Linked DNA regions of Styela clava. The protein of the gene in region 1 purifies or fractionates together with the protein of each later gene. This does not show direct contact. Links are inferred from orthologs where the notes say so. Each region holds a gene or a part of one and is shown in the gene's direction. Other genes may lie near its edges. The genes, in order: proteasome subunit beta type-7-like, PSME3-interacting protein-like, F-box only protein 7-like and proteasome assembly chaperone 1-like.

Region 1 (8,291 bases):
CCTTAAATTTGAAGACCTTAAAGTCCAAAAAATCTTTTCAAAAACAAGTCAAGTCTCATTTAGTTTCCAAATATTAAAAAATTACTACTGGTGGTATTCGTCGTATTCGATGACAAAAACTTGGGACACTCCACACTTGCACATTATTGTTTTAATGAAAATGTTGAACAGCTATAATAATATTGTTATATCTTGCCACGACTTGGCCAGAACTAGTTCAGCACCAAAGAAATGGTATTGTGACATGCTTGAGTATATATATATATTTTTTTAAATATATAGGTAGCTAACGTACCCGGATGATATTTTCTTTAAATAACTGCACACATTCTATCACTTCACGCTCGTGTTTTTATCTTTTTCTAGCTGTGATGTCCTTATCATACACGCTTGGTCTTATGTTTGAGTGGTGGTATAAGGGTTGTAGATAGTACAATATTGTTCCTGCAAGGTTACTAATTATTGCAACTAGGCGAGCAGTAGAGCTATGTTGGTTTCTCCCCTTCAGATTTTAATTTGCTGTGGGTCATTGTAATTGGATGTGGTTTTTATATCATTTATGTATGCATGCGTTTTATGTTAAGGCATGGTGTTTGAGTTGACTTGTTGGCCAAGGTATAGATAGTAAAATTTTGTGTGTTTTTTGCATGGTGTGATAAATTTTTCTCTGTCCCAAGCAGAATGTCATCATAGATCATCTATCCATCGCTATACAATGACAATACATCCCATTTAATTAAACAATTATTTTTTACCTGTAATAAATAGTTCAGAGCGTTCCCCTTCACCCAATCATTGAAACATCTACTCGCAGTTTTATTTTTTGTTTTTCAGGTTACTTCAAAGTGATTAAATGAAGTAAAACACATAAGAAAAAAAACAAAAAAAGACTCCGATATCCTGTGAAATAACAACCTTATTCCTATATCCTTGTCTGAAATCAATACCCAAGAATGAAAAACCTCACTTACACCCTTTGTAACCAATTTATTTCCACATCCTACTTTACTTAATTATAGTAATTTTAGTGTTACCGGTAACTTTAATTACTTACTACAATCTGGACTATAATTTGGCAATAATAGGCTCTAATTTGGGGAATGAAATGGTCTCGCCCACCTCTTCATGCACCCAATTCTGGCAACTTTGGTTGGGCAACTTGGCATTTGACTCCAACTATAATCAGCTTGGCAATATGTTTTCAATAGAATCTTCCTTTTATATCTTAATTAACGATTAGAAGATCGATCAATTTGGCAATGGCAATCATTACAAAAATATCAATATGGTGTGGCAGAAAATTTTTTTTTTCTTTTCTTGTATTTATTTATTTATTTTTTTTGTTTACTGTATAGTATACCCTAAATTTATCGCGTCTTATTCTTACTTAAATAAATTCTCAGTGGTTGTGTGTGTGTGTGTGTGGCTGGTGGGTGCATGTGAGCGTGTGTGAAATAACTTAATAATTTTAGGTGAGTAAACACGTACCACTTCCTCTCGGCAAAACCTTCCATCTTATATTTTGTACGTCATAAACCTTATCTAAGGTTTTGTTTGCTCCCCTGATTTCATAATCAGTTTTTATTTATTTGTTTTTATCTGTCAAATGTATTGTTATGCTGATTATGGAGTCGAAATATACTTATACTTATACTTATACTTATAATATAATTTTGACTGACTAATTATGTACAGCCCAGAGGCCGCATGTAGACGGTTGGGCCATGGTAACGTTGTTCAAATAGTCCATTATAAACTCAACTAGTACCATATTCTCCCAGACTGGATTCCATAGCAGGTGCACGCACGAGAGCGCTAGCGCTCCGCAAAAATGCTCGCGAGCGAATTCAATTTTGCACGCGGACAATTTGCAATTGCTCACCAATGTAAATCGGTTTAAATGGCTTTAAAATCAATAATCCAGTAATATGAAGATGCCAAAATATTATAACTCCACAATTGTCGACAAATACTAGCTTGCAAGATTTGGTCTAATCGAAAAATTGCGAAGCAAAAAAGACCATATCGTGTTGAATGGTAGGAATCCTGTGAGAATAGTTATGGACGAAAAGATCGCCTTTGCACCAACGCTGGTCAGGTACGGCTCTGATTCAGCGTATTTTTCATGCAATAATTTTACACGAATGTACTGAACAGTACCGGTATCTGAAGTCGCACAAACACTCTCAAAATCATCGACAAATTGTAGAAATAATGTTTGGGGTCAAAGGTCAAACAGCAATTTTTGGTCTGATTCATCGTATTTTTTATGCGATACCAGTAATTTTACGCGGATGTATTGAGAGGTATCTAATGTCAAAGTCAGTTGCACGCGGGCGCAGTTGTCTTGCAGTCGTGACTTATAATTGCACGCCAGGAATTCTTATCTGCACGCGGGAATTTTTGATTGCACGCCCGATTTCTCGTTCAAAAAGGCCATGAAATCCAGACTGGATATTCTCCACTACTGCCACTATCAAGTCAAGGTGTCAAGGCATCTGAAATTAATTATTTGGTATCTAATCCCACACACGACACAGACTGGTAACCAGACGACAGGCCATGCTTGTCTCTATAATCATCGAAATTACACATGACCTGTCACATGACCAAATTGCCGTTTTCGTTCAAAACAAATGCCAGATAGAAAATATTTTCCTTTGGTAATCAGATTATTCTTTTCCAAGGAATTCAATGATGGCGTTTTTAGATTGCGCTTCTTTGTAGTATTTTGCGCAACTTCATTTTACTTTATTTTCATCAATAGTGAGGGTCAACCATGTCCAGATGTCTCCCAAGGGCGGGGTGTTTGTTCATTGGCAAAATTGGATTCTCTAAAACGAGACAATGTTTCTCGATCTGTAAAGTGTGCCGTACTGCATTCAGTAATATGTACCTCAATTTCAACAGCTTTTAGTATTGTAATTAAACAAATAAAAAAGATTATGGCGTCACAAGGCTTACAAACTGAGAATATGTGCTCAATTCAAGAAGATGTTGGAAAACGTTTAAAAGATTTTAAATTTAGCAAAAGCAAGAACGCACGTGCAATAATTTTGAAAGTAAATATGTCTGAAGAAACTGTGGAAATTGAAGATGAACTTGATGACATCACAACTGAAGAACTGATGGAGGAATTACCTGAGCGACAGCCTCGCTATATAATTTATAGCTACGTGCATGAAACGTCTGATGGTCGCGTGATGTACCCACTTTATTTCATTTACTTCAAACCTACTGGCTGTAAACCAGAACAGGTTATGCGTTATGCCGGATGCAGAGACGAGTTATATAACCTCAGCGGAGCTGGAAAAATGCTGAGTCTTGATGAAAAAGAAAATTTAACGGATGAATGGGTACGAGCACAAGGAGGTTTGAAGTGATTGTTACATCATAAACTGTCTTGATTACTCATTTTTATCGGCTTCGGAAAACATTACTCATAGCCGAAATGTATTCATTATTTTCAGTCAGCAGCAATTAGTCATCAGAATATTGTTCAGGCTTTATTAATTCTGAATAAGTTGCCAAATTGATTTTTTATTATTTTAATATTATATTGAGAATATAATCAGTGTAAAACGACATTTAAAATGTACTTAAAAGCAATGATTGCCACGTTCTTTTATATGAAATAAGTAATGTATATCAGAAAATATGTTCTGAGAATAAATTTTTTTAGTGTACTGTTTATTATAATCTATAAGTACAATGATTCATGTTAATTTGAATGAAAAACAGTTTCTGAAAATTCAAGAAATTTTTCCCACTGTTGTAAAAATGCTCTATATTTCGTATTAGCATTCCAGAATATAATTTGCCATATTCATTCTGAGAGACAAAAACGCTGAGACGCTTAGTTGTGATATATACCTGAGTGCAATAATATCAAAAATGTTTTGTATTTCGATTATGTTATTTCTACGTAATGGTTGTTAAATCTTCATGCATATCTATGATGGCCTATTGGTTAGGTCTTGTATGACTATTTTGGTATGGAAAGCTAGAGATTTGTGCTGCAAATCCCCTTATAACCCAAACCATAAGCGTAGCCGGGTGGCTGAGAACCATGGCCCCCATCCAAGAATTTTTAGCATTTCTTTTTTTTTAAACACAATTTTTTGAGACAAAATTATTACGCCTTTTCCAACATCATTTTACGCTATTCTCGAACGATTAACTGAAAACCGACTCTTCCTGGCTTGCTTTGTATACCTTGGATAATTTTGACAGCTAAGCAAGTCTGTAGAGATAATGTTAAATATCAGTGCCTGCTTTTATCTTGCCTTGTTCGAAGCAAAAGGCACAAGTGAGTGTTGTATTATGTCTTTATGCGAAAAATATTGCTCCCCCCCAAATCTTGGGCTTGCTACGCTCTTGTTCTTTGCTGTAACTCTATACAGTTTCATTAGCTCTTGACACTTTATTCTGAATTTTTGTCAAAAAATTTCGATTTTGCTTTAAAAAATTCTTTTAGGAATATTTGAAATTGTAATAAATTGCAAGATACAATCCTGGAATATTGATCTTTCTAAACATGAAACCCTGGGATTGTAAAATTAAATTTAACACAACATTGGCTAACTTTATTCTGTTTTGATTAAAATTCCCAAAATTTTGACTTTGACTTGTATTGAACTGTAGTTATGCCAGTGTGCTAAACACTGAATATTCATGACATGGATAAAAAAAAGCACAACCGGTCGATGTAATTTGTCGAATTTCTATGCATTAAACGTCATGAGGGTATGATATGGAAAAGACGATAGTAAATTTTATTTTATTTGCTAACATCGGTTGTGCCACCTCTGGTGGTAATTACGCAACATTGGTTGCCGGTTGGGCTTTATTAATCCACTTGGTGGCGATTATGTGCCGCCGAATAATCATGCCTGTTATTTTTATCGTATTCTTAATTATGTATCTTCATTATTTAGCCCCACTAGCTTAATTAATAGAAATTACCAGTACAAATATGGCAACAGTCAAGTGCCTCACACGTCCGGAAGGAGGATTTTCATTTGAAAATTACACAAGGTAATTACCGTAATTATCTAGGCCTAAAATGTTTTGGGATTTTGAAAAGAACATTTTGTGATTAATTATCTGGCAGGTATATTGAATGGGGGGAAAACCACTGAATAGAATAAAACAAACCCTTAAGATTCATCGAGAACTGACGTCATAACAAAATCGAAATTGTAAAATGACTTTATGAAATTCAACCTTTTATTGTTTTATGCAGATTTATTTGTTTATATCTCAATATATTTCCTTCACTGAAATTTCCGCCAATGGCATGACCGCATGTGATTTGGGTGTGCTGATATTACATTGTGCAAGACTGCTTCGATAATCCAAAATATGAGTACCGTATCTATCAAAATCCACCTATCAGTCAATAATTTTTGTATATGCCTGTAAAATATAACTACCCTTTATATCACAAATTTACCGTAGTAATTCACTACTGAATATATAAGCATAAGGTTTCTCTTCCACATAGCATAAAGTAAAGATAGTTAGTTTTGCGCTACACCAACTGAAATATTTCTGCTGTAAAATTGAGTAACACACAACTTCTTCAATGGGAGCTCTTGTATTTGTGGCTTTGCCCCGACTTGCTTCTTGTTTTAATTAAACTCTTCTCGTGTATTATTTTGTCACTTTTCTTGTATAATAACTGTCAAAAAGAGGTAAAATAGCCTACAAAGTGAGTTTTCAAACATTTTCTAAAGATCAGTTCTATTTCCAACAAATTTACATAAAACTTTTTTTCCACAGGAACACTTTTCTTGAGAATAAAGGACTTGCTCTGCCTCGAGCGGTGAAAACCGGGACAACTATTTGCGGCCTCGTCTACGCTGATGGAGTAATTCTGGGAGCTGACACTCGGGCCACTGAAGGAAATATCGTTGCAGATAAAAACTGCTCCAAAATTCATTACATTTCACCCAATATTTAGTAGGTTTTTTGCTTTTCCTAATTATTCATTTAAGATGCCTGAACTTTAGTATAGTATCTCAAAATTTTACTTATATGCGTTTAGGAGGATCTACTTTATCTACCTCAGGGCTTCCGAAATTTTTTAGCTTGAGTCCCCTTCTAATGTATTAAAATTATCCACGAACCAAACCCTGTTAAGTCGGCATTGTTACGCAAGCCCTGATCTTATGAGTTAGGGTTTTCCAAAAATTATAGGTCGTGACCCCTTCGATATATTGAAATGTTTTGCGACCCCTGTTCACGTTTGAATAGCTAAACAGTTCGAGATACGCAAGTACGAAATTCTCCTCTGATCCTATGTATTTTCTCGAAATCGTGAAATTTATGTTTTGCACTAGTTATAATAATTGTGTTTGAAATAGAGCTCTGTGGCCCCTCGGTGGAACTACTGCTGGAGAGAGCAGGGCTACTCAACTGGTGGACCGCGGTCCGATTTCAGACCTTCCGAGTGTTTGATTCGGATCGCACCTAATTCTTTATTTTGGATCATTAGCTCTACTTTTTAAGTTTCATTTTATGAAATGACTTTTATAGTTTTGAATATATGTGAAAAGAATTATGACACCATAATGAACAATCTTGATTAGCTAACAATCATTAGCCGGTCGAAGAAATGCGCATTTTAGGATGCCGAAATATAATTTCTGGAAAGACCGGATCCAGATAATTTTAAAGTTTTGTATACAAATCTTCAGTAAAAATAGTTGAGTAGCCCTGCTATAGACCAGGGCTACTCAACTATTTTTACCGAAGATCCTTATACAAAACTTCAAGAATATTTGGGTCCGGACTTTCCAGAAATTATATTTCGGCATCTTCAAACACGCAATTCCTCGGCCGACTAATGATAATTAGCTAATCAAGATTGTTTGTTATGGCGTTATAGTTCTTTTCATATATATTTTTAAATCACTAAAAGTGATTTTATAACGAAAATTTTAAAAGGGGGGCTAATGATTCAAAATGAAGATTTATGCGCGGTCCGAATCGAATACCCGAAAGGTCCGGATTCGGACCGCGGTCGGCCAGTCGAGTAGCCATGCTATAGAGTAAAGCAATACAGAACTGTATATTGTTTTATAGCTGCTGTGGTGCTGGGACAGCTGCCGATACTGAAATGACAACACAGATGATTTCATCGAACCTAGAACTCCACCGACTCGATACTGGACGCGTCACCAGGGTTGCAACGGCAAATAGAATGCTAAAACAATATCTGTTCAGATATCAGGTACATGTCATCAACAATAGAGATACCAAATGGTCACACACATGACAATTTCAAGAAAATTTGCTTAAAATGTGATCAATCGCTCTCGCATCTACTAATAGGACAGGAGGCACATCTCAAAGCACTTTTTACTATTGCCTACTCATATTTATTATACATTGAATAAATAAGTCCTATGTTTTTAAATCACGGATGTGCAACCTGCGGCCTACAAGAAAAAATTGTGCGGCCCGTTGGCCAGATATGGCCTGCACAGAAAAATTGTGTGGCAAATGGAGAAATGTCAATTTTTGATGATGTGCGGCCCATGAAACTTGTTTTTAATTCTGTTTAATCTGGTACGTGCGAGTAGTTTTACATTTTGAGTGGGCCTGGGAGCTTTGTACAAAATATCTGAATAAATTCATACTTTTAAGCACGCTAGTCACAATTCTTATGTCAGTACAGGGAGTCCTCGGGTTACGACGGTAGCGACTTACGCTCGCGCACTCCATAACGCTGTTTCGAGAATACGAACACACTCCATAAAAAATATAAAAAATAATACTGTACTGTACAGTATTTGCTTTTATTCATGTGATATTTATTTGTTTTCTGTTTTTTTAATAAAATAATTCTTTGCATTATTTGTACATTTTATTACAGTACCATACTTTACAATACAGTACGATATGTAGTGGAGTAATTTATGTACTGTACAGTATAATGTTCCGACTTACACTGAAATTCGGGTTACACCGCGTCTCGGGAAGGGAACAACGTCGTAAGTCGAGGACTCCCTGTACATTCCCCTTTCAGAACTTCTTCTTTAAAAACGGTATCACTGACTGTCATTTCTTTACAGGGTTACATCAGTGCTGCTCTTGTACTTGGAGGTGTTGACTACGCAGGGCCCCATCTCTACAGCATACATCCTCATGGGTCAACCGATAAGCTGCCGTATGTTACTATGGGTACGTTGGGATAAAAATAAATCAAGAATTATTTCAATTAGATAAAATATATGCTTTATAGCCGTGTTTTTCAACGTATGGGTTGTGACACAAAACTGGGT
Region 2 (8,279 bases), on another chromosome or scaffold:
CGGCTGTTCATCACGTATTTTATATTATTTTAGATTAGTAATCTTTCATTTTAGTCATCGTGATAGTAATCTCAACTCAAAGACGAGAAACGATAAATATAATTAAATTATTATGACAATAGTCAAGATATTATAAATGCTAGCATCGACCATGGATTGAATATTTTACGCAACAGAAAACTTGTTATCCGCAGAATTTTTTTTTGTCAACGGGTGGACAGTTACAAAATCCAAGCCAAGTCAGTATTTTGAAAAAAAATCGAATAGTTCGCGGGCCCTCCCCGGTTTCTCTCACCAAGTGAGTGATTTTTTTTCAACATTTTTATGTGATTGTGTGTCAGCGTTTGTCTATCTATGACGTCTTATGGTTTAAAATTTAAATGTATTGGGTAAAAAATTTGATCGAGACATAAAATTCCAAGAGATTCTCAAATACGTGAATGTAAGTCTTGCCATGGCTGGACTGTAATTTTACTTTTTTAGCTACGTTGTTGAGTATGATGAGACGATCAAATGGCGACTAACTTATTATGCTCGAAGCTCCTTGATCAATGTGACTGCTTCATTATATTTTTAAACGTCGACAGCGTGAAAGGCTGTGTATTACTAGCTCAATGAATATTCTATTGATACATTTAGTTATTATCAACAATGTGGAAGTAGGAAGTAGATCAAAACCTTTCATGAACTATACCAGGTTGGTTCAAGGTTGTCGACCTCGCGGGCCACACTATTATTTTTGTATTGTTCGCGGGCCACAATAGTGCCAAGAATATGTTAACAGTGCAAAACAAACACTTTTATTGTCAAATACATTGATCATTATTTAACTTTTTTTAAGCTAAAGCATGCAAAAACCACAAAAAAAACTCACTAAAACGTGCAAAAATCCTACTATATTTTCAATCTTTTCATAACGGAGAAAGTATCAAAAAGAGAAACTGCCGTGTTAAATTGTCACCGACACAACTTGCAGACATATCAAGCAAGCATTGTGGTATTTTCGCTCCCACACCCAGTCAAAAATATGTTTAAATTGGTCAGCTTTATTTTTAAATTCATGTTTACAAAATAACTTACACGTAACTGCAAATTGATTGATTACTAATTTGAGATACAGGAGGGTAATTACTCAATTTTCTGACATATAGGCAGCATTTTTTGTAATACTGTTTAGGCTGGTTACAAAAAAAAAACACCCGGCGGGAATTGTATTGTTCGGCCATAACATTAATATTTAGTTATCAGGCATAGCCAACCTAGGCTAATAGATTCCTCATTCGATTTTCAGTTTTCTATGAAGCCTCTTTTGTTAGCATATATTCCCAACCAAAAAGATGAACAGCCAGATAAATATTTCGACAGCCTACACATCTTTCAACTTTGCTAGTTGCCTCAACTAGACAAAACACTAGTCAATTCAGTGCAATGACATTAAACAACATGATGCGCAACTCCGCCATTTTTAGCCGAAGATCGTATCCGATAGCACGCTCCACTGCACATACTTGACGAGACGACAACGAGCGGATGTGTGCTGCTTTCAAGGAATAGCACGAATGGTGTTCGTGCCTGCTTTGACAGTTGTTGTCGATTTTAATGATATTTTGTAAAGTTGAGGTAGAAAGAAATTGGAAAAAGGTAAGGTAAATACTATTGTTGTATATCACACCCGGGCATCGCACTGTTAAGTACATGTGGGAAAGCCAGCTTTTGTCAAATACTACGAAGTTATTAATTCAGTACGGTACGTAGTTGTCCATTTGCCGAAATTGCATATTTTCTTACCCCTTATGGTTTCAAATAGTTCATGCACCTCCATTTAGATTTTTTGTAATCAGTGAGGATATATACTCATTGCTGTAACCTACTATTGCTCATTAACTTTTATTTGCGTATTGAATCAAAGGGTTAAGTTCACCTAACATTTTACTCATACCGGTCTATATTGTACAGTCTGATCTCTCAAGTATTTCAAGTATAAGAATGCTTGTAATTTTCTGACTAAACCCTTTTATTAGTTGGTTTATATACCAAATTCAGTAAAACATATTTTACATAGACATGGGATATTAGATTTATTAGTTTTTCCACTCTAAATCATATAGACTGCTTTATTTATTCTTAACGAAAATTAATAAATCTCCTCTCTTTCTTCAGATGGGAAAGTTGTGGAAAAACCTGTCTAAGCATTGTGAGACTCCTGCAGCACAAGAGGCAATAGCAGAAATAGTATGTATATCAATCAAGAAATTAATCCGACATAAAGCAAAACTTTCAACTATTCGTCTAACCTCAATTTCCTATTATTTATTCACAGGACAACTGTAGCAGAAGGGGAGATATCAGAAGTCTGGCGACATATCAGTGACAGTGTAATTCCAAGAAATATAATTGAAGTACTCCATTAATGTTTGCAATAGAAGAACTTTTGGTAGTAATATAGATATGATATAGATTCATGATAAAATACTGTTATATATTTTGGACAACTTCAATCTAGACCAGGGATGTCAAACTCGCGGCCCCAGAGAACTTCCAGTGCGGCCTTCGAACGCCTAACAATAATTGTTATAGTATTTTGGAAGGGTTTTTTATCTAAATGTAATAGATTTTTCAAACCTTTTAAAGTGAAATTGATTATTCACACAGAAAACAATTTACTGAAAGTAGTTTTGGAAAATTAATTTTTTTTTGTTCACATTTTGATCCAATTGAGAATAAAAGAATACTTGAATAAAACACTTGAGTGATTAAATTAAACGCAAAGTACATGAAGAAGGTAGCATTTTCAAAGAAAATGGGAATTGCAATATTTCTGCATTTCACAAAATTCTGAAGCACACTGTTTAATTTGTCATATTTACATCAATACAATGAAAAAACACAATAAGCTCAGCAGTCAATATGACAAATTCGATGACCAACTCCGAACAGAAAATTTCCATGTGTTTTTATATTAATATAATTATACAACGACTTAGTTACTAAAAATCAATATCGATGATAATGCAAGCAATCCTATGCCACGCAATGTGGCACGAAATGTCTTGTCGAAAAAATCTGTCATTTGTTTTTTTTTACTGATCTATACATGGTATGATAAAAGTAACTTTTTTGCATTACTGGAATTAATTAAACATTCGCAAAGATCCAGATTAACCCATGATCATGTGACCTCGTTAGTTAGAGTTGGTAATACAAAATCATATCAGCCTGGCCTTAGTATGCTGGTGACACAAAAAAGATGCCAAACGTCAGGACAAATGTAATTAAAAAAACATTGAGTTTATACTGTAGTATTTTTGTTAATTTTAGGTCCATATATTTAGATTAAGTCATTTTTTTTAGTGTATGTATTATTCTTTCCTTATCCAAAGCTTGTTCAAAAATGATTTTGATGGCTGTACATATAATTTTATGATTTTTTGTAATAAATACAGTGCAATAATAGTGGAATGCAAATATTAATATGTAATTGCGTTTGAAATTAAAGAAAATAATAAAACTTAATCCAACTGTTTAGTTGCATCCCAATATATGTCACAAACTAAAACTATCTTGAAAATATCTTTTAAGTAGACATTATCAAAAACTGTTTGCGGCCCTTTTTACAATTTCCAACATGCAATGCGGCTCTCGAAAACCCATGAGTTTGACACCACCCATCTATTCTAGAGTCTAGACGATTAAAGCATTGCTTTGGGAAATAATATCACTTCAATTGAATTGAAAAAAAATCTCGCTATATTAATTACAAAATCGTTGCTATCATAAAGGTAAACCAATTCAGCAACTCGGAATATATTGGCCTTCACAAAGCAATGGAGGCAAAATTCTATGAACTTTTGTTCTTTTCTTTGTCTTGAACTTTTCATACTCCACAGCCCCTATTAATTTTTTTTTAATTTTAATTATCATGTGATGGTCATACATATCTTTAACTTGTATTTTCTGTCATGGTGTATTATCTCAATGTGTCAAACTTTTAATAAGTGTGCATATTTTGCTTCCAGATGACATAAATGTATTGCCTTGTTTATTACCTCAGCTTGGAGTATTGACAAGAAAAGGGTGCCAGTAAATTACGTAAATTTTTTTTTAACTCTCTGTTATAATCAGTACTCACAATTAATAGGAATTGTAAACAGCCAACGTTCAATGAGAATTATATGCGAAACCCCTCAGAATAAATTTGTCTTCTAAAATCGGAGGAAGGCAAAACATATAGTTAGTTTCCATTCACACAAGTCTTTCAAGATGACTTGTTCGAACCAAAATAAATGAGCATCGTCAGGTGATCGGTAAGGCTGCAAGTTAAATCAGCCCTGCAACCTTCTGCATAGAAGATAATATTAAATAGTGGGCTATGAGCGAAATTCCTAAGTTTAGACACATACCTATCTACGAGGCATTATGTACCAGCAATGTTACCTATGATTAACTAAATATGTAATATGTCTCATAAATTCACCAACTAAAGCAAGTTCGATAGGTGCAAACTTTGTGTTATGGAATTGTATCGCCGTTAAGAGAAGTATAAACAGTTTTACTGTTTTGTATGACACCCTCTTTAAATGAAATTTCAATGTTTAAACGCAAACATTAAAATTACTAACTTTGAACTTTGTCATTATCTGCAAAATGTCCCACACAAATCTTCACGCTATCGCGTTTGTAATCTTCTATGATAAAAAAAAACGTCTATGATGTCCAGAATTACTCTTTACAGCTTGTCTGCCATTCCAGCTTTCCAAATGAGCAAAACTTCTTAGATATAGAGATTATTTTCTTTTGTTACAGGCGCAAAAAGGCTGGTACTACACGTAAAGAAGACGCCGAGTAGCAGAAGCGAGCGGAAAACGGCCGCGAAAGGCGACGAGAAATATGTGCATTGGAGCGTATCATGAAATACAATCTTTCGCATGTAGTCTTATGGAGTGACGTCAGAGTTGCCTATCATGTTGTTTAATGTCATTGTTCAGTGGAATTAGTGATGTAACGTGTCAAAAGATTTTTCTGGTTCTTTTTTATCATGAAACAACACCAAATGCGACTTTTTGTTTACCCTCTCGCAAATGCGACGCGGGCCACATGTGGCCCGCGGGCTTGGGTTTTGACCACCCTGAACTATACCATACTACTGTACTGTACTAGTGTCAGTCTGATTGACTATCGTACCGGCACCGATCGTACCGTATCATCATGGTTAACTGAATATTCAGTTAACCATGGTATCATCCAGCTGCAATATGTAAAGTTTGTAGGATAAAAATGTTTTTCGATAACATCTCATCCTCACCGCCTCTAGCAGTGTAGGATAATATATCATCCTCTTCACTTCACTCATCACGGGTCTCGTGTAGTTTCGTACCTAACGTACTTCTAGTAGGCGTAGCGTAACAATTTTTTGACATGCCAATCCTAACCCTCACCTGACTACGCCATCCAAAAATTACGTCACTACGACGTCACAGTGACGTAATAGAGCCCTTCAAACTATGCGAACTGTCATCCAAGACGCGAAGACGAGAATCCCAAATCGAACAGCCATTTCTCTCGTTTTCTCGTCGCAACGATCCCGATAGGAGAGAGGTCGCTGACGTCAGTCAGTTCTTTATCGTCGGCGCCGATGCTATTTCGGGCGATCGTACGAGTATTTGGCAAGCTCTATGACGTGATTGTGACGTCGTAGTGACGTAATTTTTGGATGGCGTAGTCAGGCGAGGGTTAGGATTGGCATGTCAAAAAATTGTTATGCTACGCCTACTAGAAGTACGTTAGGTACGAAACTACACGAGACCCGTGTGCGACCTATTGCATTTAGGCTATTGTTTTCCAGTTATTGCAATTGCTGCTTACGAATGCATATTTTTCATTCAATTTGTTTAATGAATACCGATGTTTATTGGTCTATGTGCAAACATTTTACCGTATGGTTTTAGATACATTCTGTAATTGAGCGCATCAACTAACGTTAATGATACGTTTTTAGCCGGATAAAATATTTCAATATTCATTTAATCCACTAATCTGTTTCATCTGCTGACTCACAATGAGTTCTGGTATTAAAAGCTTTGTATCTGAAAAACAGTTGGAAGAAAAGAGGAAAGTTCGACAGGAAGAATGGGAAAAATTAAGAAAACCTGAAGACCCTGTTGAGGCACCAGAAGAAGTTCATGACAGCAGATCATTGTTTGAACGATTGCAAGAGCAAAAAGACAAAAAACAAGATGAGTTTGAAGAACAATTAAAGTTTAAAAATCAATTCCGAGGGATAGATCAAGATGAATCTAATTTTCTTTCTGATGTCTCAAAGAGAAACTTTGAACTTGACAAACAGAAACGGGATGAAGAAAAAAGAGAACTTGAAGACTTTCGAACTGCCGTAGCTCAGTCAAGAGAACTTCCAAATGTGCCAATAGATTCTTCAACAAGAGCGGAGGACAAAAAAGAGTTGCCAAAAAAATCACAGGTTGTCAGAAAAAATCCACAACAAAGCATATTGAAAAATGCTGTAAAACGAAAAGTACCAAGTTCTCAAACTTCTAATAAAGAGCAGACAAACCCATGTCCACCAGAGAAAATTCAAAAATCCGAAACTGAATCAAACAATGCTGATAAGAACCTTACACAAACAATAGTTTATCCATCAGCAACTAAGCTTGTTGGTGTATTACCTGGTTTAGCAGCATATAGTGATGATAAAAGTGAAGAAGAATCGGAAAGTGATAGCTCTTCTGATGATTCTGGTTCTGTATCAAATAATTTATTATCTTCTATTGTTCATAAGTCTCGATGACTTCATTTTTTGCTCTTTTTTTTCAAATTCGCACATAGAGTTGTACTAGTTACTTCATGTCAACTCTTAACTTGTACCTAAGTTAATGAAAATTTTTCCAGCTGTGTTGTGTCAACGACTTTGGAAATTTTCTGTTAATGCCGCTAGCCCACATACTCACAGGGTTAGGGTCTCCACCTTCTTTTGTTGCAATTCATTGTTCAAAATTTCAATCATGTCTATTTCGTTGTTTACAAATTTCTGTACAACCCCATAGTTATGAACATTTAATTTTCTCTTCGATTTATTTAATGTTTGGCTGAGATGGCCAAGAATGTTATACCTAACTAGCATATCTGGTTGAATAAATATTGTAATAAATTGGGTAGGCAATACCAAACTGGGTTCTTTGAAAAATAGTTCCCTGTGTGTGACTGACTGTGTGAAATGCCCGTATTATTATAAAAAAACGCTTCCTCTGGCATGTCTGATATTTTCCTTTTTTTAATGAATGTTATTAAATTATGAAGGTATTTGAGGTCACCTGAATACAAAATCTCAGTTTTTAAAATTATTGTACCTGATGACAATTATCATTTATTGGCATGTTGCATTTTAGGCTAACGCTTGTTTAATCTGTGGTGTTTGTGTTCTATGAATAAATCTGCACTTTTTGTTTTTTCTTAATAGGTATATTTAAGAATTATGGGGTCAAAAAATAAATATTCAGTTTTGTTACCAACTTATAATGAAAGGGAAAATTTGCCATTAATTATCTGGCTATTGATGAAATATTTCAAAGAAATGTGAGTTTTCGATTTTAATATATATGTATCTTATCATATTCAATTATTCCAATATAAAGTATGAGCAAATAAACAGTAGAATTTTAAACTATTGATAGATGGTTATCTAAAATATGGATTCTGTAATATTTCCTCCCAGTTATCTGAGCCATTTTTTTTCACATTGATTTCGAAGTTAAAGATTGTTAAATATTTCAGAGGTTGTGATCATGAAATTATCATCATTGATGATGGGAGTCCAGATGGTACATTAGATGTCGCCAAACAGTTGCAGGATATATACGGAGAAGATAAAATCGTATGTTATTTTATAAAAACCTCAATAAATAAAAATTGATATCGTATGTTCTGATTTCATGCAAATTATTTCATTTAAAATACTGTAATTTTTGTCAATATTCAAATTTATACTTCTATATTTACGTTTTGAAAGCATGCTATAAAGATCACAAAGCGAATTTAATATCATTTTATTCTAATTTTGAAGGAAACTTCTTGAGCATTTCAAGTTGGGCAAAATATTATGCTAAGTTTAAGTTTTACATCTTGATTTTATATGATTACTGTGAAAATGATACATACATACATTCAAGAGCAGGCGATCTAGAAGCCAGTGGCTGGAAGTTCTAATCGTTCAAGCCCTAATAAATTGAATAAAAAGCCCTAATAAATTCATTCAGGTTTTGCGCCCA
Region 3 (8,114 bases), on another chromosome or scaffold:
CAATTCATAAGTCTTCGGTCTCAGACCGATATTCTCGTATTATGCTTTGCTGGTAAGAAACAATTGATACATTACATTCAAAATAAGATGTCAAACTTTAGATGATCACATTCAATTGCAGATTAAAACAATACTTGTTGAATATGAGGTATTCACTATTTACTACTATATAAAGGTCCGTAAAGTCCCTTTACAATTTCCATTTTGTTATGAAGTCAGTTCCCAATATATCTTACTAACCAGGTTCGTTGTTATTTAATCAATAATTGTTTGAGTATTTTTACCTCATTTATTAATACATCTGTGAGGGCCAAAACGACATATGGGTTCGATAAATTCCCTTCGCTATTTTAAAAAAATTTCAAGACTTTATTATATATACAATCATACAAGTCTCACCCTCAGCAGTGAATCTTTTTATATCAAAGTTTTCTAATAACAAGGTTCTACCAATCCTGTGTATTGCCATGCTTACATGGGCCTTGTTATACGGCATCTTCAGCAATTTCTTGATATTCTGAAAAAGAGAAATACAAGTTAGTTATAATTCTCAGCAGTTTTCAAGATAGGGTTCATACCTTCATTACTAACGGGGTTCTGGACAAATAGACACTAATATGTCATGAGCTAATATTTTCAGAAAAACTCGTATCTTTCTCAAGTACAGTAGGACGGGGTTGAGCATCAGGAACTGAAGGTGTTCAAAAAGACATGTTTCACATTTGTGCTATGTGACATATTCTATATTCTAAAAATTCACATACAAGGGCTTGAAACATTGCACATGAAAGATTGATTAAAACAAGGTTACAATTATTCACTCACATAAAACATACAGAACTCAAAGAACTTATTGAATTTAATGTTTGTAAGATGAGTATGTGAAAGTTCGTTACAAAACCAGCAATTGTAGCACTCGAATTGCAATGCAATTGATATGTCGATGCAGATGAAACTAATTTTAGACAGAATGATATAATTTATATAATAATATGGTTTAAAAAGTTCTATTTACTTCAAGAACGATTATATATAATGTGAACATAACACAAACCTCTGCATCTGACACAACATCTACTTTGCCGACACTATCAAGGTGGCCACTCGCCATACTGAATCCACTGAACGAACGATTTGGATTACTTGAATATCTGCCACCTGGCAACACAGTCTCTGGGCGAAGTCCGACCGTTTTTCGAAGCCAGTTTGAAGGTGCCAGATTCAAGTTTGTTTCTGGAGCGAGATGGGAGAACATTGCATTGTTTTTTGTTGCTGAATATGCTATGATGGCTGATGACCTGCAAATGTTATGAATTATTTTATGAACTTGCTTATGACATTACATTTAAAAAAATAATGCATTGTATTTAGAGTTAACCGACTATATCAGAGTAGATGATTAAATATAATCTTGAGTTTAAATTCCACCCCACGCAGAATGTAGTAAATTGTATAATTTCCCGCAAAGCTTAGTGCAGTGCTTTCCTGGAGATCTTTGATCAATTATTAGGGAGCTTTCAAAGTTAAGTTATTATTAATTAAGACTACTTCGAGAGTTTAGTATTTTTAGTCGATGAAATTTTGTAATATTCATTCAACCTCGCCTTAAAATTCGTTTATGAGTTTTGGTGGGTGGTGTAGCCAGTCTGCTAACCCGTTAATTTTTTTAACCGTAGGTGCATTGGCATTTATTCTACACGCTAAACCTCGAATAAACTTTCTACGATCAGGGGTTAAAGCTATACAAACTACCAAGGTACGACACTCAGAAGATGTATTTGCGACCGAACGACCAGTGTGCGATCACGGATTTCAAGCCATGAACATTGTTTCTGCTGCGTCGATGCTAGAGCATACGCAGCCATGCGTGAAAAAATTGGACTACTAATTGCATTTCTGGCCGTCATATATTTTAAGAACACGGTCATTTCGAACAAAACTCGTCAAATTATATACAAAGCACCGCATCACAGCAATCAAACAGACAAAAACACGGTGGTTGCAAATTGGTCAACAAAGATATTATCGACGTATTGGAAATCGCACCCTCCTATTCCCCCTCCTTTAAATGTAGAAGCGCAAAAATTTAAAGATGGTTAAAAGAAATACAACTCTACCCCCTTGCCAAATTTCATCTTTTTATTTCTTATAGACCTATTTGTATGGATTTTCAAGTATTTTAATGGGACAATGGGTAGTTGGCGACATGAAAAAAGGTCCTTTATTTTTCTTCAGTCGAGTTTTCAATCGTAACTTTTTTGTTTGTGGCCGCATTTTAGTGTAATTTCGCAGAACTATGAGGAACAAGTGGACGATACCGCATGAGAAATATCGTCGCGGTTCGTTAATTTTTTCAGCCTTAATTAGATCGATGAAGTTGATGGCCGCAAATAGGTCGTGGCCTCAAAGTGGGTAAGCCACCCTACGTCTTTTCTTGCTTTGGGGATACGATGCTTTAAAATTAATCCAAGCACAAGAACACACACTTAAAAAAAAATAAAGATTAAAATAGCTGGCGGTTTTTCCACAATTCAGTAATTTACAGAATCAAAAGCATGAGCTAACCTAACAGAGGGATTTCCTTCTATTTTGTCCAGTGTTTTGCTTGTAGATGGTTGGGAAACATCCGTTTTTGTAAATCCAAAATGTCCAGTTTTCGCCGATATATCAAGGAAATCCCCGTTTGTACATCCATTGCCATTTTCATTCCGCTTGGATGACGATGAATGGGTAATTGGTGGAAAATATTCATCATTTTTGATGTAATGAGACGAACAATCAGGCGGAGGTTCCATGTTATAGATGTACTGTAAGCGACAATGCGCTTCTATGTGTCAACAATCATCTAAACTTTCTATAAAACGAAAGTCAGACTATACAGGAACTTGAAAATTATTAGAATGTTAAGAATTCTATTCCGGAAAATGCAATTCTTCGGCAATGTCACTTGCCATTTCTTTTCGTAATTTGAAACAACAAAGACATCACCTCGTTACTTTTCAAATTATATTTTAAAGAACAAAACTAACATGTATATTGAATTTGTTCTCAAATCATTTTTATACTGTCCACATGAAATTACTCATATTTTTTCGATAATAAATGTTACTGAGTGATTTAACATTATTAAATCTGGCAACAATATTTGTACGTAGAACCTCTACTGCCTCTATGCGTCATAAAATTTGCAGAACCCTGATCGCCAGTGGGCGACGTTGAGATATCATCAGAACAGTCAAATACTCATGCCAGATTCACCTGTGAAAGCAAAAAAAATTGAAAGCACAAAATGTTTCCTTATGTTGAAATTGATTAATTTTGTTGGTTTCAAGCAATACATTCATAATATAATCTTTTTATATATTAAGTATTCAAAATAACTTGTTTCTATAATCATATTGTATATTTTTATAGATTAATTCTGGCAAGTAAAATTCAATCGGTCGACCTTGCACAGAGGTGTGTGTACTACCTACCTTGTAACTTTGTAGACGCGTTTTCTTCACTTGTTGGTTGGTCCGTTTCGTTTCGTTTTAGTTATAAACATGGCTGCGAATATTACGAAATTGGTTTGTAGAAGGCTCAGCACGTCTTCGGCTCTTCGCCAAGATTTGGTGAAAACGCCAATTCCTGTGTTTGGAATATCCGGAACTTACGCACACGCATTATATTCAGCTGCTTCCAAAGCTAAAGCAAAATCAGAGGTCGCGCAGGATTTAACCACATTGCAGGAGATTTTGAAGAATCAGAAAGTCGCTGATTACATGCATGATCCATTTGTTGAAACATCAAACAAGTTAGGCCTCCTGAAAGAAGTTGCTAGTAAAGTCAAAATGACATCCACTGTTGTCAATTTCTTCGGAGTATTAGCTGACAACAGACGTCTCAATCTTGTGGGAGAAACTGCTGAAGTATACGCTCGAATCATGAGTGCAGAAAGGGGAGAAGTTCCAGCAACAGTTACCACGGCAACAGAGATGGATGTTAAGCAACGAAAAAATCTGGAAGCAGCATTAACCAAATTCTTGAAACCGAATGAAAAATTGATGCTGACGACAAAAGTTGATCCTACAATTCTTGGTGGCATTATTGTTGATATTGGCGATAAATATACAGATATGAAATATGTTGATATGTCCACAGCTAGTAAAGTTGCCTTGTATTCAGATTTAATCAGACAAAATGTTTAATTTAGCATTTCAACTCATCTGCTTCTTTAGGACGTTTGTTTATAGAGTATACTGGATTTTTAATGTGATATATCTTTTAATGTATCGCTTTTCAAATATGCTACGGGATAAGAAATATCATATTATCAATTCCATGTTTGTATTTAATTTGGCTTCTGTCTCATGCACCCAACAACCTAGAATTTATATTTTATAGTGCATGAAATATTTAATAATTTACGTATCAAAAAAATTCTCAATTTAGTTCATTGCTTCTAAGTTTCATGCCTATTTAATATACTGTTTCGACTGTATTTTACAATGATTGTCAATTTCTGCATTGATATTGGTTTTCTGCCACTTTTCTATGTGATTGAATATGTTCCCATACATTTCTGCATTTCTTGGACCTGTTTTGAATTGATATTGAATTTGATCCCTGTATCTTGTGTTTAAATTTAGATAGATATTAGGTAAAATATAGGTTAAAAACATAAGTTTTGACAACATGAAATAACAATGAAGCTAAGAGTAAGATTCGAGAAAAAGACGAAAATAATAACTATTGAAGATGAACCGCAACCTACATTTGAAACTTTGAAGTCAGCAATAAGAGAAACTGCGTTTGGAGAATGGGGAATAAATATTGATGCTAGTTTTCACATTAGTTTGGATGGTAAAACATGTGCAGGAGAAGGAGAAAGTAATTTAAAATCAGCAGGAATTGTATCTGGGGATCTCATCAAGGTCTTGCTTGGTGATAATGCATTGGTTATGGGAATTTCACAAACTTCTGTGGAAGAAAACACATCCTCGGTTACTCCTGTGATGTCTGAAATGTCCGTGGCTTCAGAAACCTTTGAGCAAGATCAACCTGGTCCATCAACAGTTACTGAAACAGAAACTACAGAATATATACCTTGTTCATCACCTGGTCCCATATTTTTCAGAGACTGTAATGGTTCATCTGATGTTCCACACTTAGTGCAAAAACTTTATGAAGATGATTTTATTAAAAATGAATTTCAAGCGCTTTGTATCGCTTTGCATTTTATGATGTGTGAGAGTGGATTTTATATTGAAGGAATGACCGAGCATAGTGACATATTACCCCATTTACAATCTCGAATATTCGCAGTAGAATACAGTCATGCAGCAGGCCCAGATTTGAAATTCAATTTCACTTGCAATCAGCTTGGTTCATTCGTTCTTGTTAATGGAGTTGCGCAACCGTGTCGCAATACCAACGAACAAGTCCTAACTCTTCAAATAACGACGAAAGACTATATTCAAAGTTTCACAGCCTCCACTAAGAATTCTAATGCTGCCGCTGTCTACAAGAATTTATCAAAATTGAATCGACAAGTTAAAGAAACGATCGCTCATCCTGCGTTGAATAACATGAGAGAAGAGTTGCAACTCCCACCAGTTCATGGACTTTTGTCGTTATTTCCTGAAATTTTACAACTAATATTTTCACAGCTAGACTGTAAAAGCTTGATATCTTTATCCCAAGTAAACAAAGCATTACAGGACATAACCAATGATGAAAATCTATGGAGAAACTTGTATATAAAGGATTTCAAATCCCATCCCATTAGTGTTGAAAATTCTTGGAAAAAAACATATTCTAAGCGTTTCGTTAGAGAAAAGGAACGTAAACAAGACATGGAGCGCTATTATCGTGATTATCAAACTGACCCCTGGCCCCAATTTCCGACCCCAATTCCTGGTCAACCTGTTCCATTTCCTGATCAGCAACCATTTGGAATGATAGGTGGTGAACATGACTTGCATCCAACTTTTCCTTATGGACCATTTGCAACCCCACCCAGACGCTTACCCCCATCACGACCCAATCACCCAATGCATCCAGATAATCCTCTTCCTGGTTCACGATATGACCCCATATTTCCTGGTGGAGGTTTCAGACCTGGAAGGGGTGGTGGAATGATGGACGCTGATTTTGAAGGGTTTGGGGCTCCAACGATGCCTTTTCAAGGTCGCCAAAGAAGGTCACGACATGACCAGAGATATGGGTTCATGTAAATTAACTTTAAATTCCCATGTTATTGTTACTTTACACTCTTCTCCCTGCTACGTGTGATTTTTTTTCAAATCTGTGTGTTTACAGCAATAATTGAGATGATATAACAAATTCATTTCATGCAACATTCTGTAGGCATCTGTATAATTACAGGATAAATGCAAATAGGAACATTTCCATCACATGGCCCCGTTTGTGTCAATTGTATCAAATAGTAAGCTGTTTTCTAAGCTTGTAACGTTTCCTAAATGACCTAGAATGTTTGTGAATCGTAGTAAAAATAACTGCAAAAGTGGTAAATTCAATTACAGATTGTTAGCTGTGAAGTTTTCACAATTTTTATCTAAACCTTTAGATTGCCAGAATAGCTTAACATTAACATTTTAGGTTACGATCATTTTAACTTTACTTGGTAGGCAACTTGTTTTGAAAATAAGCTCAATCTTACTAGATTTTGATGAATCGTCTATATTCAGGCAATAATTTCGTTGAAATATATTTTTTAGTTACTGATAAATGTTGATTGTGGTCTTTTGTGATAACTCGCCGATCTTCTTTTTTGTGCTGATTTAATTTGAAATTTTTGTGATATAAAACTTCAGTTTCTTTATTTAATTTTACGTTAACATAAGATTTGAGCAATAAATATTCTTTAATGTTTTGTAAATAGATTGACTTTTCATTCTGTGTTTGAAATTGGAATGTTATCACCAGATCTTTGAAGATGGATTTGACTAAAACTAAATTATCTAAGAACCTCGCTCGAACGTTAGAAAAAGATGTAAAAAGGTAGGTAGCATATGAATTGGGTTAGAGTGCTTTGTGTGTTGAGCAACCAATCATTTGTGTTAAAAGCTAATTAAGGTTACAATTCATGTCCAAAGAGTTATTACAGCGAATTCGTATCTCCACTTTGAGCTGAACAGTTTGCTAGCCCCAGCACTGGCTTCAGGTATATAAAAATTTCATCTCACTTAGTTCGAGAAGGCTCGAGTTTCCATCTAAAACTGTGATTGTCTGAATAGCGTAAAAATTTAGATTATCAGCATTCCAATTTGATGTGGCATGTGCAAAAATTCTAGTACAAGTTCAGACTAGGAAATGAGCTCAGCTCATGACTGAAATGACTATCTTGAGGATTTCAAAATTCAATCTTATTAAAAAGCACGAAATTTGACTATATACAATGGACATCAGGAAATATCAGTTCAGAATTCATAAGACATTCAGTGGATTCCTTTCCATTACAGCTTTTCTGATAATCTCACGGAGATGACAGGTTCACTCTCACCAAATCTCCTTCAGTCGAAGCTTTTGTTAGATTCCGATCTTCCATCACCATCATGTGATCTTGGACAAAAGCTGTTGAATGAATTTTTCCATCCACAAGCATCTGATATTGTACTGAAGGTAGGCATTGGGATATATACCAAAATTAATGTTCAGCAAACACATGGGAGGTACCTATAGTTTATAATTTTTAAAACTGTTATACAATTTTGGCATTCTTCATGGAACTGCTTCTTTTGGTCGATTTGTTGGACTCTCCTACACAAGAATACTGGTGTTTGCATTTATGTTGAGTGTATATGTTGCACCACCGATTTTGGCATAGCTTTTGGTTCAAAAAAGTGTGACCTATGTGCGAAGATCAATGGTATCTGAAAAGTAATTATGGTGATTGCTAAATCAGTAATTAAATTGAAGAATTGAAATTCATTTTAACTAGTAGTAGCATGCAATTTTGACAGAATTTCAACCATGAATGAAAAATTCCGGACGCTGGCGACAAGTCATGTTCATTTTTAACAGTTTAAATTATTATGTGACAACAGTTCATCATATATTGCATCATATGTAACAAAAACTAACTAATTATTTTACTGTTTGTGTTTCGC
Region 4 (8,620 bases), on another chromosome or scaffold:
TAGTTATCTATTCAACTTTTCACACTTACTAATAGATTACCTGCTACCTGGGAAACAATACCTTATGGCAATTATTGATTAATACCTTACACGAGTCAAGCCTGCAAGTAGGCCTACGCCTACCAACAACAGTAGTTTGTCATCTGCTTTCCATTAAAATGAGGGAGCTAGCTTTTGAATATTCAAAAAAAATTGATAACGGCACATTATGACTTACCATCAACGAAGTGCTGTCCGCAAACAGTGAAACACAAGTGAGATGGCTTCTGGACTTGACACCAAGCAGTCCTGCTAATAGATGATATCCACATTGCGCGACGTTCCGTATCTTTTGAAAACAGTGAAATATAACTGAAGATCCATTTCGTTGTCTATACTATACGTACAGCCAGCGGAACAATACGAAATAACCATTTTCAACAGCCAAACAAAACGGAAACGTATAATCCGACTTGCAACTGACAGGAGCCAAATGGACGTTTTTGTTTTATTGCCGTCCAGTAAACAAGGTCACGTGACCCGTGCAAGTCCTCTATAGATGGAGTTAAAAACTACTGGACTCCATAATTTCAAAAAAATACATATTTTTGAAAATAAATGAACACTTACTTTATTTAATATGGGATAATAATAAGTCTTCATCGTCCTGTTAAATTTAGAGATTGATGGGAAACTAAAAAATGACATTTTTCAATCCGGAGCTGAAAGGACTCTGGCCGTAAATAAATACCAAGCAATCAGGCTACATGCATGCATTTCAATGGCCGTGAAGTACAAGGCTCAGTTGTGGAGTTTGCCCGGCGCCGCGCAGTGTTTTTATTTTATCAACGATCGTTGAATGTTTTTTATATAATGTGATATTGAATGTTCAACCTAAAATACAGTCTGACAGTAGGGGACTTATAATACCTGTATGTGAAATCAAAATTAAAACGCTGACGATAGCACGCGTTCAATAATATCGGCTGGCGGTATGCAAAGTGAGTATACAGGTAGGAGTTAACGTTATCGCTTACCCTTACTGCCTTATCAGTAACTGTAGACTACCGATGCCGCTCTGGTACCGGTACTGTTCTGTACGGTGTATGCGGTACCGTTATGGTTTATTGTAATCCTGGATTGCTGCATATTCTCACGTACGGACATATAGACATAAGCAGTTGTTCACATGTAGAATTAAGTTTTTACAGTTATTGAATCAAAGACCAGCCAACAGCTTAGCAACTGTGCAAGATAATATCGTAAAATCTGAAAATTGTAGATATAAATTATATACCGGTAATATACCTAGCAAGTCACACCATATTTGAGTCTAGTGAAGTAGGCTAAATGCCATAACTTAAATAGCCTAATGCCAAACAAAAATATGACATGAAACTAAATGTCGCGACTGCTTAAAAAAACGGCTAACAAAAATGTGATGTGAAAAAACAGCCAGAATTTTTATTTATTTATAAATTTATCGTTTATTTATGGTTATCGTTAAAGTCGTTATGGTGTCTCTGCGATTAGGTGCACTAAACCCCCATATTTTTAAGTATTCAGTTTTGTTATATATCTGTATAATACTGATATTATATATTTATACATATATATATATATATATATTTTCTTTTCATAAAAAAAATCTCAAGGTAGCTATTCCAGTATTCAATAATGGATAAGCTAACAATAATATCAGGAGTTTTATTTGTCACTGCTGAAGTTTTTGCTGTTGCAAGTCTTGGACACCCAGATTGGATTAATACGGGTGGACGGGCTGGTGATATTACGTTGGGTCTAACAATGCAATGTCAAACGATTTATGGCAGAAAACAATCTTGTTTTGCTCCAGATTTACCACCAGAATGGCTCGGGACTCGACTGTTTTTAGTAGCCGGAATTGTCTGTTTGGGGATAACATGTTTACTTGTTGTATCTTCACATTGGAAGCGTGATAGACTAATTTATGCAAGATGGATGGCGTTTATAGCAATTGGATGTTTATCATATGTTGGAATGTTATTTCCGATTGGGTTTCGACAAGTTACTGTTGGAGGTGAAGCTTTCAAATTGCCAGAATTATGGAGACTTGGGGATTCTTATAAATTGCTTTGGGTGTTTTCCATTATCTTGTCATGTTCCGGTTGGGGCATGTTGATGATGCCAATGAGATTATGGATGATGAATCGGAATTGATAAATATCATGAATTGTCATAAAAAATAATTAAATTAGTTTTTTGGTTTGTGATATGTGAATGATTTTTACTAAAATGTCTATTTTAAATCATGCGACATGATCCAAATGGCCACACCTATTTCTGTCTACATTTCCGTGTGGATGAAATTTCATCAATCATATTTTTTCATGAAAGTAAGCTCAAGGCACTGTGAGTAGCAACTGAGTGAGCAACCTTCTATGCAGGGATGGCCATTTCCGAATACTAAACTATTCCGAATACATTCTAAAATAATGTTTTCGAATCTGGAATTCCGAATACATTCTAAAATCGAAAATAACACATTTTTGTTTTAGTTGATTAAAACCCAGTAAATTAGAAAATAAGCTTCAATAGAAATATCAGAATAAAGCCACAAACCAACAGTATATGTACACAAAGTTTATAGCTATCGATAAAAAATAATAGCAACTTGTGACACAGTCAGTTCATTAAAATTATTCATTTGTACAAATGACCATATGAAAAGATAGCCAAGAAGTTGACTGACGCTTTTTATCAGTGGTACCATGATATACGATAATAGTCAAGTCTATTGACAAAAATACTACATGTATTCAGATAATTGTGTATATTTTCTGAGAGTAATAAAATTTATTTGTAATACAGGCAACAACAATCAAAAATCCATTATGCCTTTAAAAATTCTAATATTTAAGCCTAGAGTATTCTAATACCTTTGTATATTTGTATAGTAATTTTTGTGAAACATATTGTTATTATGTGTAACATATTGCTGTGTTTGGAATTAGAAATAAATTAGTAGAGAATAGATGACCACCACTGCCAGCCGCGCAGCCAGGATTTTCGAAATCGGAAATTTCCATTGCCGCCTGTAACGCGCTCGTTAAAAGAGCCGTCTTTTCAGCGTATAATGATCATCCTGTTACGTAAAATATTCAATCCATGACAACTACGAGATTCTAAAATATCTTTATATATTAATTTAATGTGTCCAACGTAATAGTAAAACAATACTATTCGGTCCACGGCGATCTGTGACCTAAAATTACGAGATAAACTGCCTGATGTATTTAATTTTAATACGTGTTTTTGCAATCTTGCCAACTCGTTATCGCCGTAAGAAAAATCTTAAATAATTATATAAAATCCTGTTAAGTGTAGAGTATAATTCATTTCATACAATGAATATACATATAAAGTTCAGCAGTAAATTAAAAATTCATATTCATCGCCTCGATTATGCCACCTGTTAAAAGAGTCGACTTTTACAACAAATAATATAACAACGAATATATATTTTTCTGTTGTGCAAAGTGATGAATTCGTGACCGACACGGGCATATTTAAAATGTCTTGCTTTATTAATTTAATTGTCTTCAATTTAACCTGCGGTTGCGTCGACAAAATAAAATCCTCACCAGTCTTATTATATACCATTGCAATCCGCGGTCATAAAAATAAAAACGCGAGGTGAACTGCCCGATAAAATATTGTTTTGATCCGTATTTTGCGAATTCGGCAAATATTTAGATGTACTTGTTAACAGTGACTTCGCTCGATCGAAATGCTGCCACTCTGATTATTTTTAGATAAAACCGTTCGAAAAATCCATAAATATGCTGTAATATCTCAGAGTAAAATTTATTTCATCACAATAAAATTGATTGAATATACTTTAGATTAATTATATTATATACATCCTCACAACCCGGGAAAAAGTCGCGTTTCAAACCTTGTATCGTGTTAACACGAAAATATTCGACGGCAATTTGAGGTAATGGATAATCAGGCAAATCCCGCCCTCAATTAGTGACGATATGTTTCTAAACGCCGACCAAACATAATGTGTGCCAGAGGCCCACGAAATTTTGCAATTTTCACTGCCTAGAAAATCGTTTTTTAAATTTTTGCGGGCCTCAATAAAACTTATATTGTTTACGGTTTTATTTTCAGTATTTTAAATTGCCGCTTTTCAATCAAAAAGTTGCGTTGTCTTTAGAAACTCGCCGCCGATGAACGTATTTACCAGATTCACAATTCCGTGCGCCTACAAAAATAAAATAAATGTTATCGTTATCGTGGAACAAATTTGTAGAAAATTTTCGTTTTAGAGAAAATAACACAATCGTAAAGGCGTTTACGGGCCTAAATAACACGTTACGCTGATGAGTGATGAAATCAATCACGCGCAAGTTTCTATCGAGAATGTTTTTATTCAACGGAAACGTCTCGAAAGCGGCGTGGAAAATGTGTGACGTCACACAAATATCCGATATTCTTATGAACGTGAATTCCGATATTCGAATGACGAGATATTCGAATACTTAATTCGAATTGGCCATCCCTGCTTCTATGACATTTTTGATATGATTTAATGCTGTCGGACTCCTAAAATATATATTCCCAACTCTCATCATTGGCTCTCTCCGATTGGAAGAAGATTGGACTATTTTGTTGTCTTATTATTGATGGTATCACACTATGGCAAGCCCCGCCCTACGAGGCCTATCCACCATCACATGCTTGACTGATCAATTATCCTTGCCTAATTAAACTGTTTTTTTCAAGGTCTGCCATTCTATACAGTTTAAATGTCCTGATTTTGATATCATTATGCTTTTATACATTTATATTGTCTTTGTATGTTTTGGTATTGACTACCAGGTTTTTGTTTATTTTTTCTATTATTAACACCGAATTGTAAATCATAAGTTACATTCGCAGTATTTTTTTTAACAATATTCAGTTTCTTATGTAGTCCTATATACTAGCAGTGTTTGTATTATTTCTGTTTGAAAAATCTTGTCTATATTCAACATCATCTCAGTATAAGATTAATAAAGGTGCCCCTATTTAAATCTTACAATATGTAGATGTTTCTGCCATGCATTCTATTTGCATAATAATAAATCAGATTTGTGCACCCTAAATGCGCATAATATACAGAATTGTTGTTCGAATTTTGTTTTAATTACTGTTTTACTGTGCTCATATTCCAAGTCATCTCAAATACTTGATTTGTCCATAAATATGTATTAGGTCATAAAAATGTTTTTTCACATCATTTCTTTATCTCGAATGAAAATATTTTTGTTTGATGTCACAATATCCTGACACAGTAACTTCTAGCAGTATGCACATGTCCAGTATAATCATTGATTGCATTTTATGTTTTCCAACGTCCGTTGTATTTTCAATAGTATTGATATTACATACCGGTACTTATTGTTACAAAATGGCAACTTTTCATGGAGAAATATTACCAGTTATTTCAAGAGCTGTTGACGAGGAGGAAGAGGAGAATGCTTCTAAACCAAGGTTTGGTATTCTTCTGTTTCTATGTTAATGAACATCAAGACTGAAATTGGTTTATCTTGATTCAACTTATAAATCGCTGAATGTCGGTAATTTTTGACTTGTTACCATTAAAATTGTTCTTGGTCGCTGCAAGAAAACTTGTTAATTATGAGGTTGTGTAATAGCTTTTTATAGAGTTGTTTTTGTAATGTGATTTGTAATGTTCTGGGCAAAGTTTTAAATTAAGAACAAATGTATCAAAATAAAGGCATTGTGGAACAATTATCTAGATACATACAGTATATAATGTTTTCAATTGTTATCCCGTGATTGATTATTGATATTTTATTTTAGAGACTTGGTGTTGAAATGGTCTGCAGATCATGATCAGAAAGCATTAGAGTGTGATAATCTTATTATTGCTGCTGGAGAAGTCGCATGGAGTGAGTTATTTCATGTTTATTTTTTACGGACCTACCGTAGTTTTTATATATTTTATAATATAATATTATTGTACAAACTTTTACGATGTTAAATTTGTGATGTAATTCACTAGGCCTTTTGAAATATAAACTAACATTTCTCTTTAGGTTTTCTCAAAATATATTATGACCTGCAGAATTCTGACAAAGTAGTTGAAATCATTGAAAATTCAAAAGAGGACGATTGTATTTATGAAGCTATCTCAAAACAACCTAATATCGGTAAGTAACTCAAGAACACATTGCAATTTTATGATGGATATAAATTGTTGCAAATGTATGTTATCACTTCACCTAGAGGTCTCAATTTAATGAATCTGGTCATATTTATCCCATGGAGAGGAGAGACGATAGGACTGCTCAATCATATAGCATATGGCCATAATTATCTCCCACCCATTCGAGAGTGGTTGGCACAGGATTATCACACAGAGCAGCTTTCAGCATTCGCTTGATCACAATCATATTTGATACAGTGGAACTTCTAATGTATAAAATTATTGTTTACAGGAAAACTTGGCATATAGCATGATTTTGCATCTTTAAAACATTGATTTGGATATTCAGAAATGAGATAAAATACAGTAATTGGAGTATTCCAAACAACATGAATATAGATTCCATAACTGCATCTAATTAATGCGCTACTACTTCAAAGTATCTAATTTAATTATCTGACTGATTCAGTCGAGGAAATGATGATCATCCCAAGGGATGGTCTGTTTCGTCTCAAGGGGGTGTCTGCATCCAACATTGGTTTTGATGTTTTAAATTTTGATAGTTTTCAATATTTAAAACAGTATTGTCATTGTTTAACTTTCAGATAAAACAATACAATATACTTTAATTTCAGTGTCAACAATCTATGAAAAATTTAATAAACAAAAAAGGAATATTTTTGTATCCTGTAAGTCATATATTCCACCAGAACAAATTTGGCCATGGACAGCAAAGGTAATTAATTCTTAGGTTTTTTTGAAATTTTATTCGTTTGTATATGCATTACATAATCTGAGAATTACAGAATCTGACAATATTTTACTGAGAATCCAGAACTGTTTGGCAATATTTTTTGTTGTATTTTAATCTCACATTTCATCACTCTTTATCAATTTCAGTTCTTCAATATGGTCAAACCGTTAAAAGATGTGTTCGTCTTGTCATCTTCCACGATACATGAATATAAATGTGAAGACATGAATTCAATTAATACTCCGTTTGTAAGATCTCTATCCACAACAACAAAACCTAAGAATCATCCAGTATTTACTGTACTTGAACAACCAAATTTAATGAAAAGTATACCTGCTGCAAGTAAGCGTTTATTTTTTTGTTCATTCAAGCCCGATTCTGTCACAAGCGTGTTGTCTTTCATTCATGGTTGTAAAAATAATACATATTAAGTCACAGCTTGCAAAGATCTGAAAAGCCTCTTGGAAGAAAGGATTATTTGGAAGGTTATAGCTCGTTACGTGGATAACTTACTAGCTCGTATTTAGCAGTAACTGACGTTTCTTGTAGCTCCCAGGGAATACTTGTTTGTGGTAAAATGCTATGATTTCAAGACTTTATGAATGAAGCTAACAAAAATTAATACAATTTGTGGGTATAATGGTCAAGTAGTTAGTTGCCGGTCTGATTATATTGCCTTCATAGGCTTTTATCAATTAATGCCAGATTAATCTTTCAGTCTGATGTACAGAGTTGGGTACGTTATTGAGTACGTTAACTGAGAAATTTCCTTCCAAATCCAAGAATTCATTATGTCAAGTTCAGAGCCACAACCAATGTAAGGTTATTAAGGATGAAAATTCCCACAGTGATCAATCTATAATTACCTTATCTTAGCCTAGACCAGGGTGGTTCAAACCCAGGCCGCTTCATTATCTATGGCCCGCGTCACATTCTGAGAGTAATCAAAAAATTACACTTTTACACTTAATGCACTTTTCTTGTTTCACAGTCATCACCCACTGTCAGTTTCAAAATATTCCTGCAACTGCTTACATCTGTTATACTGAAAATAATCAACTAGATTCATTATCAATTCAAGCTTTTACTGAGCTGCTAGGAACACCTCAGTTTAAAATATCAGTAGTAAGTATAAGGCTAGTCACAATTTCATTTATGATATTGTAACATAAATACTCATGGTAGTTGTGGATTAGACTAGAATTTTGTGAATATATGGCCATCGGTGATTACTCCATGGAAGCCTCTCATTACTTTTTTCAGAGATTTTTTTCACTCTGTAGTATAGAGCAGTGTTTCTCAACCTATGGTTCACAGCTCAAAATTGAGCCGCCTGAAGTGAAGATTTTCCTGGGTTGCTTGTTTTTAAACCTAAAAGTTACTAATTTTACTTTGTTTTATATAAGTCCTTCAATTTTGCGACTATGAAAGTACTACATGCCCTTTAGTATTTGAGCATAGCCGTAGGCCGCAGGTTTTTATCAAATTTATTTAAAAAAAAATTTTGATCCCTTGAAAAAAAAGGTTGGAAACCACTGGTGTAGGGCTGTGCTATTACAATACTATTTTTGTTACTGGAGATTGCTGCTGTACAAGAAGTCTTTGACCACATCCATGCAATGAGGGTCTAAAAAAGGGACTATTTTAGTGACTGGACTATTTAATCATTGTTCCTCTTCATAGAC

What was found.
Region 2: the proteins of proteasome subunit beta type-7-like (region 1) and PSME3-interacting protein-like purify together in Homo sapiens (co-immunoprecipitation; 3 studies listed by BioGRID and IntAct, with this or other methods). This does not show direct contact. The link is inferred for Styela clava from reciprocal best matches to the Homo sapiens genes PSMB7 and PSME3IP1.
Region 3: the proteins of proteasome subunit beta type-7-like (region 1) and F-box only protein 7-like purify together in Homo sapiens (affinity purification with mass spectrometry; 3 studies listed by BioGRID and IntAct, counting the BioPlex papers as one, with this or other methods). This does not show direct contact. The link is inferred for Styela clava from reciprocal best matches to the Homo sapiens genes PSMB7 and FBXO7.
Region 4: the proteins of proteasome subunit beta type-7-like (region 1) and proteasome assembly chaperone 1-like purify together in Homo sapiens (affinity purification with mass spectrometry; 4 studies listed by BioGRID and IntAct, counting the BioPlex papers as one, with this or other methods). This does not show direct contact. The link is inferred for Styela clava from reciprocal best matches to the Homo sapiens genes PSMB7 and PSMG1.

What each region holds. Positions count from the first base shown.
Region 1 is NC_135254.1:4,864,605-4,872,895, reverse strand, and holds the start of proteasome subunit beta type-7-like, read left to right. Parts: upstream 1-4,846; 5' UTR 4,847-4,975; coding exon 4,976-5,037; intron 5,038-5,784; coding exon 5,785-5,964; intron 5,965-7,089; coding exon 7,090-7,237; intron 7,238-8,081; coding exon 8,082-8,190; intron 8,191-8,291. Other genes in the region: glia maturation factor beta-like, read left to right, coding at 2,946-3,383. UniProt on the Homo sapiens protein: Component of the 20S core proteasome complex involved in the proteolytic degradation of most intracellular proteins. This complex plays numerous essential roles within the cell by associating with different regulatory particles.
Region 2 is NC_135263.1:8,598,089-8,606,367, reverse strand, and holds PSME3-interacting protein-like, read left to right. Parts: upstream 1-5,527; 5' UTR 5,528-6,055; coding exon 6,056-6,802; 3' UTR 6,803-7,471; downstream 7,472-8,279. Other genes in the region: dolichol-phosphate mannosyltransferase subunit 1-like, read left to right, coding at 7,487-7,587, 7,786-7,885, 8,268-8,279. UniProt on the Homo sapiens protein: Promotes the association of the proteasome activator complex subunit PSME3 with the 20S proteasome and regulates its activity.
Region 3 is NC_135258.1:7,334,709-7,342,822, reverse strand, and holds F-box only protein 7-like, read left to right. Parts: upstream 1-4,665; 5' UTR 4,666-4,688; coding exon 4,689-6,218; 3' UTR 6,219-6,887; downstream 6,888-8,114. Other genes in the region: erythroid differentiation-related factor 1-like, read right to left, coding at 400-517, 1,055-1,298, 2,566-2,795; ATP synthase subunit O, mitochondrial-like, read left to right, coding at 3,546-4,190; BTB/POZ domain-containing protein 8-like, read left to right, coding at 6,941-7,005, 7,467-7,626. UniProt on the Homo sapiens protein: Substrate recognition component of a SCF (SKP1-CUL1-F-box protein) E3 ubiquitin-protein ligase complex which mediates the ubiquitination and subsequent proteasomal degradation of target proteins and plays a role in several biological processes such as cell cycle, cell proliferation, or maintenance of chromosome stability.
Region 4 is NC_135259.1:12,684,084-12,692,703, reverse strand, and holds the start of proteasome assembly chaperone 1-like, read left to right. Parts: upstream 1-5,281; coding exon 5,282-5,502; intron 5,503-5,835; coding exon 5,836-5,924; intron 5,925-6,071; coding exon 6,072-6,185; intron 6,186-6,816; coding exon 6,817-6,917; intron 6,918-7,081; coding exon 7,082-7,277; intron 7,278-7,926; coding exon 7,927-8,060; intron 8,061-8,620. Other genes in the region: modulator of smoothened protein-like, read left to right, coding at 1,657-2,178. UniProt on the Homo sapiens protein: Chaperone protein which promotes assembly of the 20S proteasome as part of a heterodimer with PSMG2.